5 linked regions of the Callithrix jacchus genome follow. The protein of the gene in region 2 purifies or fractionates together with the protein of the main gene of each other region. This does not show direct contact. Links are inferred from orthologs where the notes say so. Each region holds a gene or a part of one and is shown on either strand. Other genes may lie near its edges.

What was found.
Region 1: the proteins of GPN3 (region 2) and POLR2G purify together in Homo sapiens (affinity purification with mass spectrometry; 3 studies listed by BioGRID and IntAct, counting the BioPlex papers as one, with this or other methods). This does not show direct contact. The link is inferred for Callithrix jacchus from reciprocal best matches to the Homo sapiens genes GPN3 and POLR2G.
Region 3: the proteins of GPN3 (region 2) and POLR3D purify together in Homo sapiens (affinity purification with mass spectrometry; 3 studies listed by BioGRID and IntAct, counting the BioPlex papers as one, with this or other methods). This does not show direct contact. The link is inferred for Callithrix jacchus from reciprocal best matches to the Homo sapiens genes GPN3 and POLR3D.
Region 4: the proteins of GPN3 (region 2) and POLR3B purify together in Homo sapiens (affinity purification with mass spectrometry; 3 studies listed by BioGRID and IntAct, counting the BioPlex papers as one, with this or other methods). This does not show direct contact. The link is inferred for Callithrix jacchus from reciprocal best matches to the Homo sapiens genes GPN3 and POLR3B.
Region 5: the proteins of GPN3 (region 2) and POLR2M purify together in Homo sapiens (affinity purification with mass spectrometry; 3 studies listed by BioGRID and IntAct, counting the BioPlex papers as one, with this or other methods). This does not show direct contact. The link is inferred for Callithrix jacchus from reciprocal best matches to the Homo sapiens genes GPN3 and POLR2M.

The regions. Positions count from the first base shown.
Region 1 is NC_133511.1:120,037,586-120,041,712, reverse strand, and holds the start of POLR2G (DNA-directed RNA polymerase II subunit RPB7), read right to left. Parts: upstream 2,805-4,127; 5' UTR 2,734-2,804; coding exon 2,722-2,733; intron 2,588-2,721; coding exon 2,478-2,587; exon of another isoform or gene 2,195-2,477; coding exon of another isoform or gene 2,166-2,194; intron 919-2,165; coding exon 759-918; intron 1-758. UniProt on the Homo sapiens protein: Core component of RNA polymerase II (Pol II), a DNA-dependent RNA polymerase which synthesizes mRNA precursors and many functional non-coding RNAs using the four ribonucleoside triphosphates as substrates.
Region 2 is NC_133510.1:113,347,030-113,350,543, forward strand, and holds part of GPN3 (GPN-loop GTPase 3), read right to left. Parts: intron 2,340-3,514; coding exon 2,215-2,339; intron 686-2,214; coding exon 570-685; intron 438-569; coding exon 341-437; intron 1-340. UniProt on the Homo sapiens protein: Small GTPase required for proper localization of RNA polymerase II (RNAPII). May act at an RNAP assembly step prior to nuclear import.
Region 3 is NC_133514.1:19,238,664-19,242,684, forward strand, and holds the start of POLR3D (DNA-directed RNA polymerase III subunit RPC4), read right to left. Parts: upstream 2,804-4,021; 5' UTR 2,678-2,803; intron 2,458-2,677; 5' UTR 2,453-2,457; coding exon 2,288-2,452; intron 989-2,287; coding exon 945-988; intron 364-944; coding exon 212-363; intron 65-211; coding exon 1-64. UniProt on the Homo sapiens protein: DNA-dependent RNA polymerase catalyzes the transcription of DNA into RNA using the four ribonucleoside triphosphates as substrates.
Region 4 is NC_133510.1:109,299,162-109,302,675, reverse strand, and holds part of POLR3B (DNA-directed RNA polymerase III subunit RPC2), read right to left. Parts: intron 690-3,514; coding exon 489-689; intron 1-488. UniProt on the Homo sapiens protein: Catalytic core component of RNA polymerase III (Pol III), a DNA-dependent RNA polymerase which synthesizes small non-coding RNAs using the four ribonucleoside triphosphates as substrates.
Region 5 is NC_133509.1:3,682,814-3,686,327, reverse strand, and holds part of POLR2M (protein GRINL1A), read right to left. Parts: intron 1,318-3,514; coding exon 1,113-1,317; intron 1-1,112.

The sequences.
Region 1 (4,127 bases), on a different chromosome or scaffold from region 2:
TGCTTCAACCCAGGAGGCAGAGGTTGCGGTGAGCCAAGAGCATGCCATTGCACTCCAATCTGGGTAACGAGCAAAACTCCGTCTCAAAAAAAAAAAAAAAAAAAAAAAAAAAGATTTGAACACTGGTTGGGCACATGATCTTGACCAGTACACTTAACTTAAGCTTCAACTTCTGTAAAAAAGCACCCACCTTGTAAAATCACTGTGGGTCTCTGCACATTACCTGGCCCATAGTAACTACTCAGTCAATGCAGGCTTCTATTGTTATGACTATAAATGACTCCCTTGCCCTCTGAGTCACACAGGGCCAGATTGCCATACAATTTTAAAGTGAAGCACAAGAAGTAAAAGTTACTGGCCAGGCATGGTGGCTCACGCCTGTAATCCTAGTGCTTTGGGAGGCTGAGGTGGGCTGACTGAGCTCAGGGGTTCAAGGCCAGCCTGGGCAACATGGCAAAACCCCATCTCTACCATAAAAAAAAAAAAATTAGGCAGCCGTGGTGGCACATGCCTTTAGCCCCAACTACTCAGGAGGCTGAGGCAGGAGAATCGCTTGAACCCGGGAGACAGAGGTTGCAGTGAGCCAAGATCGTGCCACTGTACTCTGGGTTAAAGAGCAAAATTGTCTCAAAAAAAAAAAAAAACAAAAACAAAAAGTAAAGTAACTTAGCTGAAGGCACAGAGTTATCAAGTGGAGCCAGGACCCAACGACATCTTCCAAGAGACTACCCCACTGGCTCCCCTATGTATGGTCTCACCTTGTTGACCTGCGTGACAACAGCATCCACGACTTCTCCTTTAAAGGGCCGGAAAACAATGGCCTTGTACTTAACTGGATAAAGGACGAAGCCTCGGCCTGGCTGGATCACACCAGCACCGATATTGTCAATGGTGGTTACAGCGATTACAAAGCCATACCTGCAAGGAGGAGGAGAAACAAACGGCATTTTGTGTCCATGAGCCTCTAAAGATTCTGCAGTAAAAGTCACTGAGCTTTTGGGAGGAGGGTCAAGGAGAACAAAAGGACAAGTTGCTAGCACCTCAGTTACCAGAGCTTAATGACCAAGAGAAGACAGGACACAGATCAGTATGTATTAGGCCAAATGCTGCTCTGATAATTTCACAATAAATGTCCAAGATGGCTGGAGACCTTGAGCCAACAGGGGCCAATCTTTGGGATGCCTGAGAATCATCTTATTAAAATGCAGACTCTCTGGCCCAGCACGGTGGCTCATGTCTGTAACCCCAGCACTTTGGGAGGCCGAGGCAGGTGGATCACCTGAGGCCAGGAGTTTGAGACCAGCCTGGCCAACATGGAGAAACTCCATCTCTACTAAAAATACAAAACTTAAGGCCGGGCACAGTGGCTCACGCCTATAATCCCAGCACTTTGGGATGCTGAGGCGGGTGGATCACGAGGTCAAGAGATCGAGACCATCCTGGTCAACATGGTGAAACCCCGTCTCTACTAAAAATACAAAAATTAGCTGGGCATGGTGGCGCGTGCCTGTAGTCCCAGCTACCCGGGAGGTTGAGGCAGGAGAATTGCTTGAACCCAGGAGGCGGAGGTTGCAGTGAGCCAAGATCACACCATTGTACTACAGCCTGGGTAACAAGAGCAAAACTCCATCACAAGAAAAAAAAAACAAAACAAAAATTAGCTGGATGTGGTTATGCACATCTGTAATCCCAGCTACTTGGGAGGCTGAGGCAGAATGGTTTGAACCCGGGAGGCAGAAGTTGCAGTGAGCCGAGATCGTGCCACTGGACTCTAGCCTGGGTGAGAGTGAGACTTCCATCTCAAAAAAGAAAAAATAAGCAGATTCTCAGGTCTGCCCCAGAGAATCTTGATTCTGTAGGAAACAATGAGGTTCAGGAATTTGCATGTTCAAGAACCACCCCAGGTTTTTCTGATGCTGGAGACCCAAGTAACTCCACTGCCCTGGGCTGGGTCATTAATACCACCCTGGGAGAGGCTCCTCTGCACAAAGCCCAGAGATGTTCAAGTCCCAAGCTGCTTCCTTCCTCCCCCAACTCGATCTGCCTTTTCTGGTCATTCATTCAGAATATATATTGAGGCCCATGGTGTGTGGTCCCTGGGCACAGGGGATAAGAGAAAACCAGCAGAATGACAGAGGGAGAGCAGACACAAGAACAGTAATTACACTGTGGACTCCACGAGGGCTGGTCTCATTCTATCTTGTTCTCAGGGCCCAACACGGGTCCTGGCACACAGCAAGGATTTTTTTAACATGTTTGAGGAGTAAATGAATGATTAATTTCAACGGAGGGAAGGAAGTCTTATCGGCCAGCATTGCAGAGGGAGTCCTGGGAACCCAAAGCAGGAAACAACTGGCAGCCTGAGAGAGTGAGAGAGGTCCCCAGAGTGGGTGGCAGGACGAGCAGGAGCTGGGGAGGGGTTGCAGGTATAGCGCCTCGTGTGTGCGATCTGGCTGCGCGGTGAAGTCGGCACTCACTTCCCGGTGCAGGTCCCCTCCACCTCGGTGAAAAGCTTCTGCTTCACCGTGTTGAGCAAATTGGGGCCGAAGTAGCGCGGGTGCAGCAGGATTTCGTGCTCTAGGGAGATCTGCGGAGAAAAGTGGGATGGCGACCAGGCCAGGCGCTGGGAGGTTATCGGGCAAGAAGGGGCCCCTCGCGCCGGCGCCCGGCTTTGCTCCTCCTTCCCACCCAGCCCTTGCTGCCACCCTGAGCCCTGCTCACGTGGTAGAACATCTTCCCAGAGCAGTCTGCGAGGCTAAATCCACACCTCTTGCCGCCTCCGGGAATCCACCGGAAGCACAGATAGCCTCAGCAACCCCAGTTCCGGGCCGGCCGCGACAGAGGGAGGAACTCCACCCCCTTCGCGGGTTTGATTGGGCCTCGCTGTCGTGGGCGGGAACCACTAAAGCCACGCCCCTCGCCCGCCCAACCTGGGCCTCAAAAGGCAATTCTCTTAATGCACAAACTATAACAACCACTCAGTAAATACTTATAACGAGATTAATTAGTGAAAGAATCCATAAGTCAAGCGCTATAACAGAGTGCAGCAAATCGATTCAGCAAATATATATCTACACATGTTTGTTGGAGGCCCAAGTACTTCACTGCCCTGGGCAGAGAGAGAGTCTCTGTTGTCCAGGCTGGAGTGCACTAGCGGGATCATAGCTCACTGGAGCCTCCAACTCGTGGCCCCAAGCGATCCTCCCATCTCAGCCTCCCAAGTAGTTGGGGCAGCAGGCGTGCCACCACGCCCAGCTAATTTTTAAAAATTTTTTTTTGTACAGACCGAGTCTCTGTGTTGCCCAGGCTGGTCTCCAACTCCTGAGTTCAAGTGATCTTCCCGCTTCAACCTCCCAAGATGTTGGAATTATAGACATGAGCCACCACACCAGACCTTTGTCTTTCTTTTTTCTTTTCTAAGAGAAGGGATCAGTCCGGGCGCGGTGGCTCACGCCTGTAATCCTAGCACTTTGGGAGGCCGAGACAGGTGGATCACCTGAGGTCAGGAGTTCAAGACCAGCCTGACCATCATGGTGAAACCCCAACTTGAAAAAAAAGGGGGGGGCTGGGCGCGGTGGCTCACGCCTGTAATTCCAGCACACTCTGGGAGGCCAAAGCGGGTGGATCACAAGGTCAAGAGATCGAGACCATCCTGGCCAACATAGTGAAACCCCGTCTCTACTAAATACAAAAAAAATTAGCCGGGCATGTTGGCACATGCCTGTAATCCCAGCTACTTGGGAGGCTGAGACAGGAGAATCGTTTGAACCCAGGAGGCAGAGGTTGCGGTGAGCTGAGAATGCGCCATTGCACTCCAGCCTGGTTAACAAGAGTGAAACTCCATCTCAAAAAAAAAAAAATTAGCTGGGCGCAGTGGCAGGCGCCTGTAATCTCAGCTACTCTGGTGGTTGAGGAAGGAGAATCGCTTGAGCCTGGGAGGAGGAGGTTGCAGTGAGCTGAGATTGTGCCACTGCACTCAAGGCTGGGCGGCAGAGCACAACTCCATCTCAAAAAAAAAAAAGTTGTTGGAATCCCAAAAACCACTTTAAGCCTCGAGAGAGATGTGACTTCGAGTCACATACAGTTTACAATTTCTGTTCTCAGATTATAGATCAACTCACTTTCTT
Region 2 (3,514 bases):
TAATTACAGGTGTGCACCACCACACCCAGCTATATGTATATATTTTTTGTATTTTTAGTAGAGACAGGGTTTCACCATGTTGGCCAGGGTGGTCTCAAACTCCTGGCCTCAGGTGATCCACCCTTCTCAGCCTTCCAAAGTGCTAGGATTACAGGCGTGAGCCACTGCACCCGGCCTAATTTTTAATTTTTTTTTTTTTTAAGAGATAGGGTCTTACTATGTTACCCAGGTTGGTCTTGAACTCCTAGACTCAATCCTCCCGCCTTGACCTGCCAAAGTGCTAGGATTACAGGCATGAGCCACTGTACCTGGCCAAAAAATCCAAACTTTAAAAGCTTACCAGTCCACATATAGCTTTAGTCAGTTTCTTGAATTTTTTGCTTCTTAAGTCACTTGTAGAATCTTCTAATAAAGAATACATGTCTGGATCTAAAAACCTTTAAAAGATAGAAAGACTGATGAATTTAGGAGACTAGGTTTATAAACCAACCAAATTTTCCATCTAAATAAAACAGAAGGTTCATCTCTGCAATTGAGATCTGATAATAATGGAAGAACAGTGAACTCACTTCTCAATTTCCTTTTTAGCTTTTTTACTCAGCAGATCCATTTTTGTCATGATGTTGACCTGTGGAATTTCTAGAGAGACCATGGCACTCAGGGCTGCCAAGATGCCAGAAATAAACTGAAGGAGGAAACAGAAAAGGGAAGATGAACTGACTGTTGCCAACAAAGTTACCTGGTCTTTGCACAAAGAGGCTTCTATTCCTCACTGAAACAGAATTGGCCTAAATAAAAGAAATACAGGCTGGGCATGGTGGCTCATGCCTTTAATACCAGCACTTTGGGAGGCTGAGGTGAGCAATCATCTGAGGTCAGGAGTTCAAGACCGGCCAGGCCAACATGGCAAAACCCTGTCTCTACTAAAAATATAAAATTAGCCAGGTGTGATGGCAAGTGCCTGTAATCCCAGCTACTCGGGAGGCTGAGGAAGAAGAATCATTTGAACCTAGGAGGTGAAGGTTGCAGTGGCCCAAGATCATGCTACTGCACTCCAGCCTGGGCAAAAAAAGTGAAACTCAGTCTCAAAAAAAAAAAAAGAAAGAAATTCTAGTTCAGAACATGTGGAAAAGGCAAAATTATTTGTACTTTATTAAAAGAAATGCTAGCCATACAGAAAAAAATGTTCCCTAATTAGGTGTTTGACTCTTGGTTCCCAAAGGTGAGGGAAGATGTAGATAACATACAGTGATCACAAATGTCAATTTAGACAGCATTTTAATTTCTTTTCCCATCTAATATTCCTTAAGAGCTAATAAAATAAAATTTGATCTAGATAGTTCATAAACTGGACAAAAAGTCCTCAGAAAATTAAAATAGACTTTTATAAAATAGCTAAATAGTTATCTGCTTCAGTTTTTTTCTTGCTCTGTCACTCAGGCTGGCATGCAATGGTGCTATCTTGGCCATCTCAGTCATGGCAACCTCTGCTTCCTGTACTCAAGCGATCCTCCCACTTCCTGTATTCAAGCAATCCTCCTTCCCAAGTAGCTGGGACTACAGGCCCAAGCCACAACACCTGGCTAATTTTTGTATTTTTTTTGTAAAGACAGGGTCTCACTGTTGCCCAGGCAGGACTGGAACTCCTAGGCTCAAGCAGTCCTCCCACTTTGACCTCCCAAAGTGTTGGGATCACAGGTGTGAGCCACTGTGCCTGGCCACCTCAGTATCTTCTCTTAGTTCCTCCTAAATCTCTACGATACCTTAATTTACTACTTTTGAGTTATAACATATTATCATGATAATTTAATAACAAAGGGATACTAAGTAATTCTGGAATTGTTTGTGAAATATCCATAATCACACAATAATTAAAGGAAATTGTCATCTGCTTGTACTCATAGTTAAAAAAAATCTGTAAGAGGCTTTGGGAGGTTGAGGAACGCAGCTCACTTGAGGTTTGAGGGTAGGAGTTTGAGACCAGCCTGGCCAACATGGTAAAACACTGTCTCTACTAAAAATACAAAAATTAGCCAGGCATGATGGCGCATGCCTGTAATCTCAGCTACTTGAGAGGCTGAGGCACTAGAATCACTTGAACCTGGGAGGCAGAGTTTGCAGTGAGCTGAGAACATGCCACTGCACTTAGCCTGGGCAATGGAGTAAGACTGTCTCAAAGAAAAAAAAAAATCTATAAGAGAATTAGGTTCAGACCTTGAATGACTCCACCATGAACTGAGAATCAACAAGAAAAACTCCACAGACTCGGAATTCCCACTGCTCGAGCTGCTGGACCAGCTGTTTCATCACAGGCAGGTGAGTGTACAACTCAATCTGACCTACATAAAGAGTATTGCAAGAATTTAAGAAACAGCAAATATGTTAGAGGTAACAGAGTTTCCCCATAAGATGGATAAAAATAAAAGCCAACACATTTTTAAGGAGCCCACAGCCTCTCAACGCAATCATAAAACCTAAGGTACTGCCACCATAGGAATCCCAAGCAAACTATTCAGTTTTACGTAGGAAATGAGGTTCTATGGGTTAGGCAGAGTGGCTCATGCCCATAATCCCAGCACTTTGGGAGGCTGAAGTGGGTAAATCACTTGAGGCCAGGAGTTCAAGACCAGCCTGGCCAATATAGTGAAACCCCATCTCTACTAAAAACACAGGAAAATGGTTGGGCGTGGTGGCTCACGCCTGTAATCCCAGCACTTTGGGAGGGGGAGGTGGGTGGATCATGAGATCAGAATTTCAAGACCAGCCTGGCCAAAATGGTGAAATCCTCTCTCTACTAAAAATACAAAAATCAGCTGGGCATGGTGGTGGGTACCTGTAACCCAGCTAATTGGGAGGCTAAAGCAGGAGAATGCTTGAACCTGGGGGGCGGAAGTTGCAGTGAGCTAAGACTGCGCCATTTATTGCACTCCAGCCCGGGCGACAGAGTGAGACTCCATCTCAACAAAAATTGAAATTAAAATTAAAAAAAAAAAAAAAAATTAGCCAGATGTGGTGGTGTCCGCCCATAGTCCCAGCTACTCCTTGGGACGCTGAGGCACAAGAATTGCTTAAACCCGGGAAGAGGAGGTTGCAGTGAGCTGAGATCACACCACTGCAATCCAGCCTGGGCAACAGAGTAAGACCATGTCTAAAAAAAAAACCACAAGGCCGGGCACTGTGGCTCATGCCTGTAATCCCAGCATTTTGGAAGGCCGAGGTGGGCAGATCACAAGGTCAGGAGATGAAGACCATCCTGGCTAACATAGTGAAACCCCACCTCTACTAACCATACGAAAAATTAGCTGGGCGTGGTGGCACGTGCCTGTAGTCCCAGCTACTTGGAAGGGTGAGGCAAGAGAATCACCTGAACCCAGGAAGTAGAGGTTGCAGTGAGCTGAGATCGTACCACTGCACTCCAGTCTGGGCAGCAGAGCAAGACTCTGTTTCAAAAAGAAAAAAAAAAAGGAAAGAAAAATTAAGGTTCTTCACATTTTAGTTTTCTGCCAATTAATGA
Region 3 (4,021 bases), on a different chromosome or scaffold from region 2:
TTTTTGATGTTGATGATATGAGAAGGTCCCATGTCTGACACATCCACTGTCTTATCCCAGTTTCCTGTGGGAAATCACCCGGGTCACTAGGGATCAATCAGGAAGATGCCAACAGCAAGGAAAACTGAACTGGGAGCAGGGAAATTCCACTGCTCTTGCCCTTCTCTTGGGCAGTCTGAACTCAAATTCACTACTGATTCCTTCTTCGTACCTTTTTTCTTCATCATTTCGGCTGGGCCCTGCTCAAAGATGGAGTGGGACTGGATCACTTCTGGGCGGCCTCGTCCTCGTCCATGCCCCTCTCGCTGTCGGTCTCTGTCCCTTTCACGCTTCTCCTTCTTGACAGTTACTTCTTCCTTGGGCCTGGAAAAGAGAATGGATTCGGGAAACCACTCACTCACTGTGTCTCCGAAAACTGGCCTTAATCTCCCATACCACCTCACTCCAAGACAGTGGAGAGTCTGAGCCAATAATTACACTATGAGAAGCAGAATCCAGTTCTAATTCTAGCACTTTTCTCACTTCCTTGATGAGGCAGGATTTTTTCAGTTTGCTTTACTTTACCTTGTCCAAAAATGTAGATTTTTTTTTTTTTTTTTGCATTGGGACTGAAAGCAGGAAGGCAGAAATCCAAAGGAACTTCAAGGAAAGTATGATACATCTTTGTTTAAACTAGTGGCTCTCAACTCTGGCCATCAAAGAGAATCACTCCATTCCACTGCCAACAAATTAAATCACAATTTTTAGAGATGGAGCCCTAGACACCAATATTTTTTTTTTAAACTTACACATCAGAATCACCTAGAAGCAAGGACTGAAAATCACCAGTGAAAAGAACTAAAAACATAAATTTGTCAGAGCCACAAACCTAGTTACTTCCCCCAAAGCCCCATATTCAGAGAAAGTAAATAAGGGGCAAGTATTCAGAAGGCCTAGCTACTTACTCTTCTTTGATCTTCCGACTGATGATATTTGGGGTGAAGGTTTTCTGAAAGCAAAATACAGGAGTCACTGATGTGTTAGGTCCTGACCCCAAAGTACAGAGGAAAAAAAAAATTCCCAAAGGGCACTGTCTACCAACCAAGGCCAACATGGTTGTCTTTGGCACGTTCCACAGTGCTGTCCGCTTTACAGAGACAGACATGTGACTGAAAAGAAGGAATGTCATGGTGTGGTGGCAGTGGAGTTACACATAAAAGAAAGGGGCACCAAACCTCATTTTTAACCAGCAGCCTTAGGTTCTGCCTCTGAAAGAATACCCTCTGGGACTTCTAAAAGCAAAGGAATTTCTCTAGTCTCACCTCTCATCTTCAAACTGCTATAGAGACCAGTGAGTATCATGAGAGAACAGCTCTAGCACCAAGACATAAGTAGGGAAGACCACAGATCTGCCAACACTCTCAATCAGGGGATTATAGACCGTCACAATTTTCCAAGGCAAAGTTAGGTGTTTTTTTTCTTTTGAGAGGGAGTTTCACTCTTGTTACTGTGGCTGGAGTGCAATGGTACGATCTCGGCTCACTCCAGCCTCTGCCTCCCAGGTTCAAGCGATTCTCCTGCCTCAGTCTCCTGAGTAGCTGGGATTACAGGCACCTGCCACCACACTTCTAATTGTTGTATTTTTATTAGAGACATACCCAGCTAATTTCTGTATTTTTTGTAGGGGTTTCACTGGCCAGGCTGGTCTCAAACTCCTGACCTCAGGTAATCTGCCCACCTCGGCCTCCCAAAGTGCTGGGATTACAGGCGTGAGCCGTGGTGCCCAGTCGCAAAGTTAGGTTTTTAAATACTGCTTTATTCTCCTGCCATCCTGACCCTACCCCTTTCAGAGCTACTCTTGACATCCACAATCATATGCACATGGGAGACCACAGAGCCTCAAATGCTATGCCTAGGATTCATCATACTCTAGATAAAAAGTCTGCACACTGAGATGTTGAATTCTGAACTCTCTAAGACTGTGAGGTTTATGCCTGCCTGGCTTTCATGGGCTTGTTATAGATGTCCAAACACACAATGAAAGTAAATAAACACTGTTCAAGTTGCTTTTGAACAACGTTAACTAATTAGGACTCTCTATCCTTCAACCACCTCTGAGAATCATTTCAACATCTGTACTCAGTACCTAGATTTGAAGGTAGGACAGGCTCCCTAGAATGTAAAGAGGAGTAGGCGTGAGGCCGAACAATACTCCAGACACACAGTAGGCCCTACACGAACATTAGTTGAATCTCGCGGCTTGGAATTCAAGGTAGGTGAGTTTCTTTAGAAACGCGCCGTTGGGTACCTTCTTGACTCCCCCGAGGGTGAGGTCCCTGGAACGGATGGAGGGAAGGCGGCCGGGAGTGAGGGGGGGCGCCGGCCGCCGCCCGATGAGCCCCCGAGCCCCGGTCAGGAGGGGTCGGGGCCCTCCCGGAGTGCTGGGCTCGCCGGCGGCGTTTCCTTCCGACATGTTGCCTGGCAAAGAAGGGACAACGAGATGACCAGAGGGGATTGACACGCGGACCCTTGCGGAACCCCACCCACTTGGCTTCCGGTTCCCCACTCAGCGCGTCCTCCAGTGGCGTCTCTGCTCCTCCCCTCCCACGTGGCAAGACTCCCCAGACCACCCAGGTGAGAGCCCTCGTGACACGCCCTGTCTCCAGGACCCCCGCCCAAGAACCAGGCAGGGACTCACCCGGACCGCGGCCCCACACCACGCTCACGACTTCACCAGAGACGCGACCTGCAGCTAGCCTTCGGTCTCCGCGCCGAACGGAAGTCTGCGTGGCATGGTCTGGGCGCCGCCATGTTGGCGCGGGGCGGAAGTGATGTTCTGGGGGCGGGACTGAGCCACAGTATTTATTAGGCGGCGCTTCGCTCCCCTCCGCCTTCTCTTCCCGGTTCTTCCCGGAGTCGGGAAAAGCTGGGTTGAGAGGGCGAAAAAGAATAAGGGGACTACTGTTCTGGGCTACGCTGTGACGTGGCGTTCGGGGGTCTTAGGCCTCGGGCGGGGGTGTGGAGGCGCCGAATTCAGGCTCCTGGGCCTTGTTGGCCGCCACGCGCAATGTGAGGAATCGCCGCGGCGGAGCCCCTGGGAGCTTTGGGGTCGCTGCTCGGGATGGGGCGAGGGGCGCGGCGCAGAGAGCGAGACTTGAACTCAAAGTTGGGGAGTCCTGGGCCACGCCGAGCCCCGTCTCGGGTTCTCCATGGTGACCTTGAAGTGGACAGTTCCTGCGGGCAGCGGCCTCGCCCACTTTTGAGGACCCCCTTCCCTGTGCTCCTGGGGGGGTTCAGGGGTGAGGCTGTGGGGGGCAGCGTTGGAACAGCCGCAATGGACCAACCGGTACCCAGTCACAACCGCCTTGGGCTCACGACGGCGGTGGCCCTCATGTGCGCTCTTGGTGAAAGCCTGCACGGAATCGGAATACCAAGTTTGCTCTACTGTTGGAATTTGAAAAACTTCGATTGACTCCGATGTTTGTGATTTCACATAAAAAGTGTCATTTAATGTTACCCCCCAGACCATGTAAAAACCATGTAACAATATTACGGGGAGTTTGAGGAAAGGAAATCATTTCTATTCGATTGCCACGTAGAGTACTACTATTAAAAATTTTGTAATATATCTAGTAGTCTTCACAAAGTTGTCATATTCTATCACAATTTCGTATCCTTTTTCTTTTGTTTTTTTTGGGGGGAGGCGGGGAGAAGAGGGAGACGAGGTTTCTCTCTGTTGCCCAGACTGCAGTGGTAGGATCGGCTCACGGCACCCTCTGCCTCACAGGCTCAAGCCATGCTCCAACCTCAGCTTCCCGAGTAGCTGGGACTACAGATGCATGCCACCATGCCTTTCCCCGCTCCCCCCGTCCCCCACCTCGTAGAGATGGAGTTTCACTGTGTTGCCCAGGCTGGTCTTTAACTCCTGAGTTCAAGTGATCCCACCCACCTTGGCCTCCCAATGTGCTGGAATTACAGGCGTCAGCCACCGCGCCTGGCCTGTATCCTCCTTTTCCAAATAACATTTCTCTGTTGCCACATC
Region 4 (3,514 bases), about 4.0 Mb from region 2:
TGTAAACTCCCTGGCTTGGTGTTTAGGCAATTGCTTGTGTTTCCAATATAAGTGAGTTAGAATCCACATTAGGTAATGGACTGTATACTCCTAATTGGCTGTGACTGAGCCCACCTAAGGACAATAAGGAGCTGCTCAAAAAGAGCTTCTCATGAGCATGAGAGATGATAGGTCTTTCAATCTGCCTTCACAGTCTTATTCCTTCTGTGCATGGTTTGATTTTGGGATAAACTAAAATAAGCAAGAGAAACATGGACTGTATTACTTTTAGCTAACTTACTGAATCAAATGCTTCTGCAGGTCCTAGTTTTAGAATGACACTAAGGCAGTCTTCCAAGCATGTCAATATTTCTTTGCCAGATAAATGGCAGACCAAAAAAGGATATGGCCTGGGAGATAGGAACAGAAAGGGACCACACCCACCCCACACTATGCACAGACATAGGTATCACTTCTGACACAGCATCAAGACTCCTCAGATTCCTTACCTCTCCTTCAGGAGTGTCTGAAGGACAGAGCATTCCCCACTGAGACGGCTGGAGGGAGCGAGGACCACTCACTTTTCTTGTTTTTTCAAACTGGGAAGAGATTCTTGTCATCATGCCCAGTGCAGATATATATGACAAGCGAGACAGCACTTGGGTCACACCCTGGCGGTCCATTTTAAATCTCTTTAGAGACCAGTTTCCCTGTAGGGAGATGAAAGACACAACACTATTCCTAATCCAATCCTATGTTGTCTGATACTGTGCAGTAACTACAGGAAGTTCATTACAGGAATTTCATGCTTTCGAAATTAGAACCATGCACATATTCAGAAATCAAAGCATCACAATTAAAATGAAAACTTAGTCAAGTCATTCACTGGGGATTTCTAGGAAGATAATGAACATTACTATGTCTAGCAACCATCTCAGAAGTGTCTGATGCATCAACCTTACTATATCAGAGCAGTCACCTTCTGAGGAACTAATTCTATACTGAAAAGCCAGTTCGACCAGAGATTTCCATGGGAAGTCATAAACTAACTGATAAAACACCAGCAACAAAGAGATCATTTCATGTTGGAATGTGCGATTATTTGGATGTTTTCCAAAGTTACTCTTAAGAATAGCAAAATGTAGCAACAGAAAAATAACTCTGATAGCACTTATTTGGGATAATGAACAAACTGATGGCTTCCTAATCAAGGTTTAAGGAATCTAAAAATAGTATATATATTCATATTAAGAAATATATATTCTCTGTGGCCACTGTATCATTATTAAAATAGATTCATATGAAATAAATCCTGAATAATAAATTTACTTTATCTTCTTATGCATTAAATGTTATATTATTTTAAACATATTATTTTATAATTGTATATATTGAAAATATCCTCAAGGAGAACTTACAGATTAAGGTCAAAAATTTTTCAAATGTAAATTCATAGTAACATGAATTAATAGTAGAAAACAGTATTCATCAAAAAAGCAACACAGGTTGAGTGTGGTGGCTCACGCCTATAATCCCAGCACTTTGGGAGGCTGAGGTGGGCAGATCACTTGAGGTCAGGAGTCTGAGATTAACCTGCCAATGTGGCAAAACCTCGTCTCTACTAAAAATACAAAAACTAGCTGGGTGTGGTGGCACATGTCTGTGCTCCCAGCTACTTGGGAGGCTGAGGTGGGAGGATCAATTGAGCCCAAAAGGCAGGCAGAGGCTGTAGGGAGCTGAGATTGCACCACTGTACTCCAGCCTGGAGGTAAGACCCTGTCTCAGTTAAAAAAAAAAAAGCAAAGCAGACAATAATATGTGAACAGAATTGTTGACTCAAGTTTTCTAGTTCCAAAAAGAACAACTGCACCTGCCATGGTTCTCCATTCCTCCTCAGAGGACCCAATCAAAGCTAGGAGTGTTCTCTTGAGAAAAATGCACATAGAAACAAGAACAAAAATTTAATATTCATTTTGGACTCTTGTGGATTCCAGATTAAAAACCCTTGTAGCAGAAAAATTGCTAGGGTTTCAGGAAACGATTAGGTGATCTTTTGCATTAAAATATGTAACTTTGGGGGAGCTCCCTCACAAATTAAAGTTTGCTCACTATTACAGTCAAGATTGATCACTTTGGAACCTTAAGTTTCTGAAATGTGGAAAAGAGCTAAGCTCTAAGAAACTCTATTATAAGGCAAATAAACAGAGCAACCATATATATTCCACAAATTAACCTCTCATATTATTACTTATTTCATTAACTCCTTTTATCCTCGGAGGGAGAATGAATCTAGTAAACTGACTTATGCCCAGAGAGTAAGAGTAAATAAGGTAAATAAGTATTCAGCACACAGCTAAAATAAGGCAGCAGCTGTTGGCAAGTAGCAAGTAGATGGGAGTAAAGCCAAGATGTTCGGCAAGAGAATTTGTTCTTGTATTCTGCAGGAGTATTACAAAGGGGAGAGACGAGAAACACAAGAGGTCTAAAACTGGTCCTTTGGGGAAAACATATTTGGTAAAAGCATTCTGCTAATAGCAACTCAGAATTTTAAAGGTTGATCTTTTTCTGTTGCCTAGAGTGGGATACACCTGTAACTAGGCCTGCTACTGATTTTTGTAATAAGCAGTTCTGTCAGGGAGGTAAAGCAGTTTCATTTAGGGGAAAAAGAACTACTTAAAATAGCTCTTTTGACCTGAAAATCATGGGTGAAGAAGCAAGAAAAAGTAATTCTAAGAGAAGTGTGTTCAAGCACTCTTTGGAGGATTCTCTTCAAATATTCAGGATCCACCTCAGACAAGTTCGGACCACCAGAGTTTATATGCTTAAACAGGGACAAAGGCGTGGTTCACCTCAAATTTAGATATAGCTGTCATTGCAAGGGCCACTAAGACCCACTATAAAGTTCCAAAGTCAAGTATTGAAGCGAGTCTGCAATAATTCTTTCATCATTAAGGGAATCAACATGGCAGATTATATCATGCTTTGTTGGGGCAAAATCTCATCCATAAAACTAATTTTATGTCTGGCATACAAAACATGAACCAGACTTCATCAGATAGACCTATAGTTGTCATGCTTTAAGAAAGGGAGCAAAAACCCATCTGATAACCTTTTATGAATAGCCTGAGACCCTGACTACACAGCAGCTGCCGAGAGCTGAATTCATCCAGAACTAAATTCATTGCTTATGTGAGGAACAGCTGATAGGTCTTTGAAGAATATAAAACTCCTGTGAAATGAAACGTTTTGTATTATTTTGGACAAAAGGTTGCTAACTAAGAAACCTGTCTGAAATGTGTCAATTTTACTACAGAAGTAAAAGAGGAAAGTTTTCTTTAAAAGAATGGTTATTAACAGTTAAATGAAGATTTTTCCGCTACGCATCAGTATCTATTTTCTTATTGCCTCATATAACAGAAACTATAATTTCGCAGGAAAGTTATAAATAAGAAAATTCCTATTGATGACACTTCAGACTTTCTTTCAAAGTAAAAATGTGTGCTTTGTAAACATTCCTTTTAATATATATATATTT
Region 5 (3,514 bases), on a different chromosome or scaffold from region 2:
AAAATGGGTTTTTTTTAAACAATAGCACCTTGAAAACGCCAATCCATGCCAAGCCTTCTATGAAAAGCCAACGCAGATTATCAGCCTGTTTTGTTGTTCGTTTTTTGGAGACAGGGTCTCACTCTGTCACCCAGGCTGTATAGAGTGCAGCGGTGCAACTGCAGCTCACTGAAGCCTCAACCTCCTGGGCCTAAGCAATCCTACCTCAGCCCCACACGTAGCTGGGACCACAGTCACGTGCCACAATGCCTGGCTAATTTTCTTGCGAAGATACGGTCTTGCTCTGTGCAGCCTGCTGTTATACTAACTGGTGCACTAGTACCTGACTGAAATCAAAATAAGCAACATCTAGGAAATGAGACAGGACAGTCTGCCGGCTAAACAACACTATCCTCCCACTCCTTCTATGCCCTCCCCTGTACTGCAGGAGACAGAAGCCTGGGAACTACATTTCCTCATTCTAGAAGGGGTCTGGGTTAGAGTCCACCACTGAGAAGCTGCCACATGGGTTTTACAAGGTGAAAGGGAGAGACAGGGAGGGATGCGATGCCACGACTATCCTAACAGAACAGGCAGGTGCGTGAGCTTTGAGACCTGAAATTCTACAGCAGTCTCCCCACATCTTCTGGCAAAGCACCACTTTTTTTTTTTTTTGAGACGGAGTTTCGCTCTTGTTACCCAGGCTGGAGTGCAATGGCGCGATCTCGGCTCACCACAACCTCCGCCTCCTGGGTTCAGGCAATTCTCCTGCCTCAGCCTCCTGAGTAGCTGGGATTACAGGCATGCGCCACCATGCCCAGCTAATTTTTGTATTTTTAGTAGAGACGGGATTTCACCTTGTTGACCAGGATGGTCTCGATCTCTTGACCTCATGATCCACCCGCCTCGGCCTCCCAAAAACCCACTTTAATGTTGCAGATTGCTGTTCATCTCTAGCTGTTTCCTGCAGTTCTACCAACTTTGTGACTCTGAAAACCAGTGGTATAGGTCTCAGCTCATGGAAGCACCTAATCCCCTCTATTCCAGTCCATCCTCCTTGAACCTGGAATAAATTCTGACTTATGTAAGCAGCACCCAACAAACAGACGAGAGAAAAACAATACTCTAAATACCTCATAATTCTGTTTCTGCTGTTTCTGAAGTGCCAAAGACTCTTCTATGGAGAGCAGCTGCGCGGGCGTGTGGTGAAGGGGCAGAAGCCGAGCTGCTGTGATGTCATCGAGGTGCTGCTTATCCCTGCGCCGCCGCTCTTCTGCGGAAATGGGAGACCTTCTCTTCTGACCGTCACCAGATGAATCAATTTGTCGAGAAGGTAATCTGATAAAAGGAAAACTTGTGTCACACAGACTATTTTCTTTATTTGTAGACACATTTAAACCATTCACACAAAAGGCCTTTAACCTTAGCAATCAATTCTCCTCCAAAGGTAATAGTAAGCAGTTTCCCAATATTCACTGCGCTGACAAATAGGAGTGTGTTTGCGCATACAGGCTCTTTGCCTTTTCCTTCATCAAACCTTATACTTTAACTGGAGCTTTTCTTTTTTCACTTATTCATTCAATGAACATTTGCAAAAGGGTTTACTGCCTCGTAGAGAGAAATAAACATGTAAAGTTTCAGTGCGATATAATACCAGAGGTACTATGACAGATACCTCAACGAGATACACTGGAACATAAGGAAATGGCCAGTTCCCGTGGGAGACAGGGAGGTTGTCAGAAAAGCTTCCAAGAAGTGACATTTGAACAGTCTTGGAATAATAACTGCTTACCCCTTAAATGAGGAGAGAAGTGCATCCCAGCAAGGGGAGTGAGAGGAAGCACAGCAGGCACAGACACCCAGCTTTTCTGCTATACAGAAAAGACGGCCACAGAGAGGGCTGGGAAGTAGGATGAGCCCAGACTGCAATGAGAAGGTCAACAGAACAAGTTCAGATTTCCATCTTAAAATTTCACTCTGGCAGCAGTGGAGACTGACTGCTAGTTAAACTAGAGGCAGGAAGAAGCCACAGTTGTAGCCCAAGAGAGGGGAGTGTCTTCACTCTGACAGAAGATGAAGAACAATTATACAGATGAAGATCAAGGAAAATACATTACGTAGGTCTTCATGGTGAGCAGATAAGGAGATGAGAAAAATGAAAGATACCTTGGGGGAAGAAAACCAAGAAGAAGGTGGGGACACTATTAGAGAATATGGAAATTACCTTGGAAAGAAACAGGGGTGCCACTTTGTACATGATTAAGCTGAGATGCCAGGGAACACCCAAGTGGTCAAGTGTTATGGCTAATTGGCCATGTAACCCTAAAACTTCTGGAAGATCTGGAGTAGAGGTAGACAAGGGGCAGCCTCCAGCATCCAGGTGATATACGAGGCCAGAAGAGTATGCAGAAGGAAGAGCAGAAAGGCTCAAACGGACACTCCCTAAGCCCATTTTCCAGCCTCCAAGCCACTTCTTACCATGTGTGTAGCCTCTGGACTCCTCAAAGCCCTGCCTTTCCTGCTCTCCTTTAACTACACAGGAGGCTCCCTCTCTCTTAAACTTCCTGCACTCTTGGTAACCCTCATCACTATTCCCTTATCTCCCTCCAACTCCTACATAAATGACCATAATACAGAACTGGGATTAATGTATTCTTTGTTGTATTTATTGGCTAGATGACGGTTCTAGTTTTCTACATGTCATCCTGGAAGTGAAACGTGTACTTCACTGTATACAAGAGATTACCTGACCACATTAATATACTATAGTCCTGATTTTGTATTCAGCAGAAATCACGTTTTCAGGTTAAAATGAATGCTGGGGTTGAGTTAAAGTGTAACAGAAAAGACGCATGTTTTAGGTACTTTTCGCTAGAGGTCTTCTGTTTTTCAGAGAATGGTAGTAGTGATTTAACGGTGCATTTGATGTTATGTACTTGTAAATACAGCACGGGAAGGTAGCAGTTACCCGAGCTGAATGTTACATTTGCTGCAAGTAAATAGCAATTCTTTTCAAAAAGATTTTATTTTTCCTGAAATGTCAGAAATAAATTTATGGCAAGGAACTGATAAGCAGAGTTTCTGCCCATCCTGCATGAATCTATTTTCACAGTTTTCAAACCGCTTCTCAGCTTCCTTCTCCCTGAAACTATTAGTATGTAGTTTAACTCTTTTGCAAGTGTGTAAACCTTGGGTCTTCATCCAGCTCCTAACCTCACTGAAGAACAGGGAGTTTATTACATTATACGTGTATACATTATGGCCATGTTTTTAAACTTGAGATACAACATTAATAAGGCAAAGGAGTTTAAGAATTTTGACTTCACTGTGTCCCCACAACACCTGCTGCTTGCTTACATTTAGTGAGCATGCACATCTCTTCTGCTGGAAAGCCCATGAGCTCCAGCTGCAACTGCCTTCCCCTTAGTTCACAGACTAATCACAGTGAGTACACTTTGATAGTACACTAATCAGAGCTGTACGGTAAAAAATGGTTCCGAAAAAAAGAAGTCATAATAAATTCTCTCTCCAACCC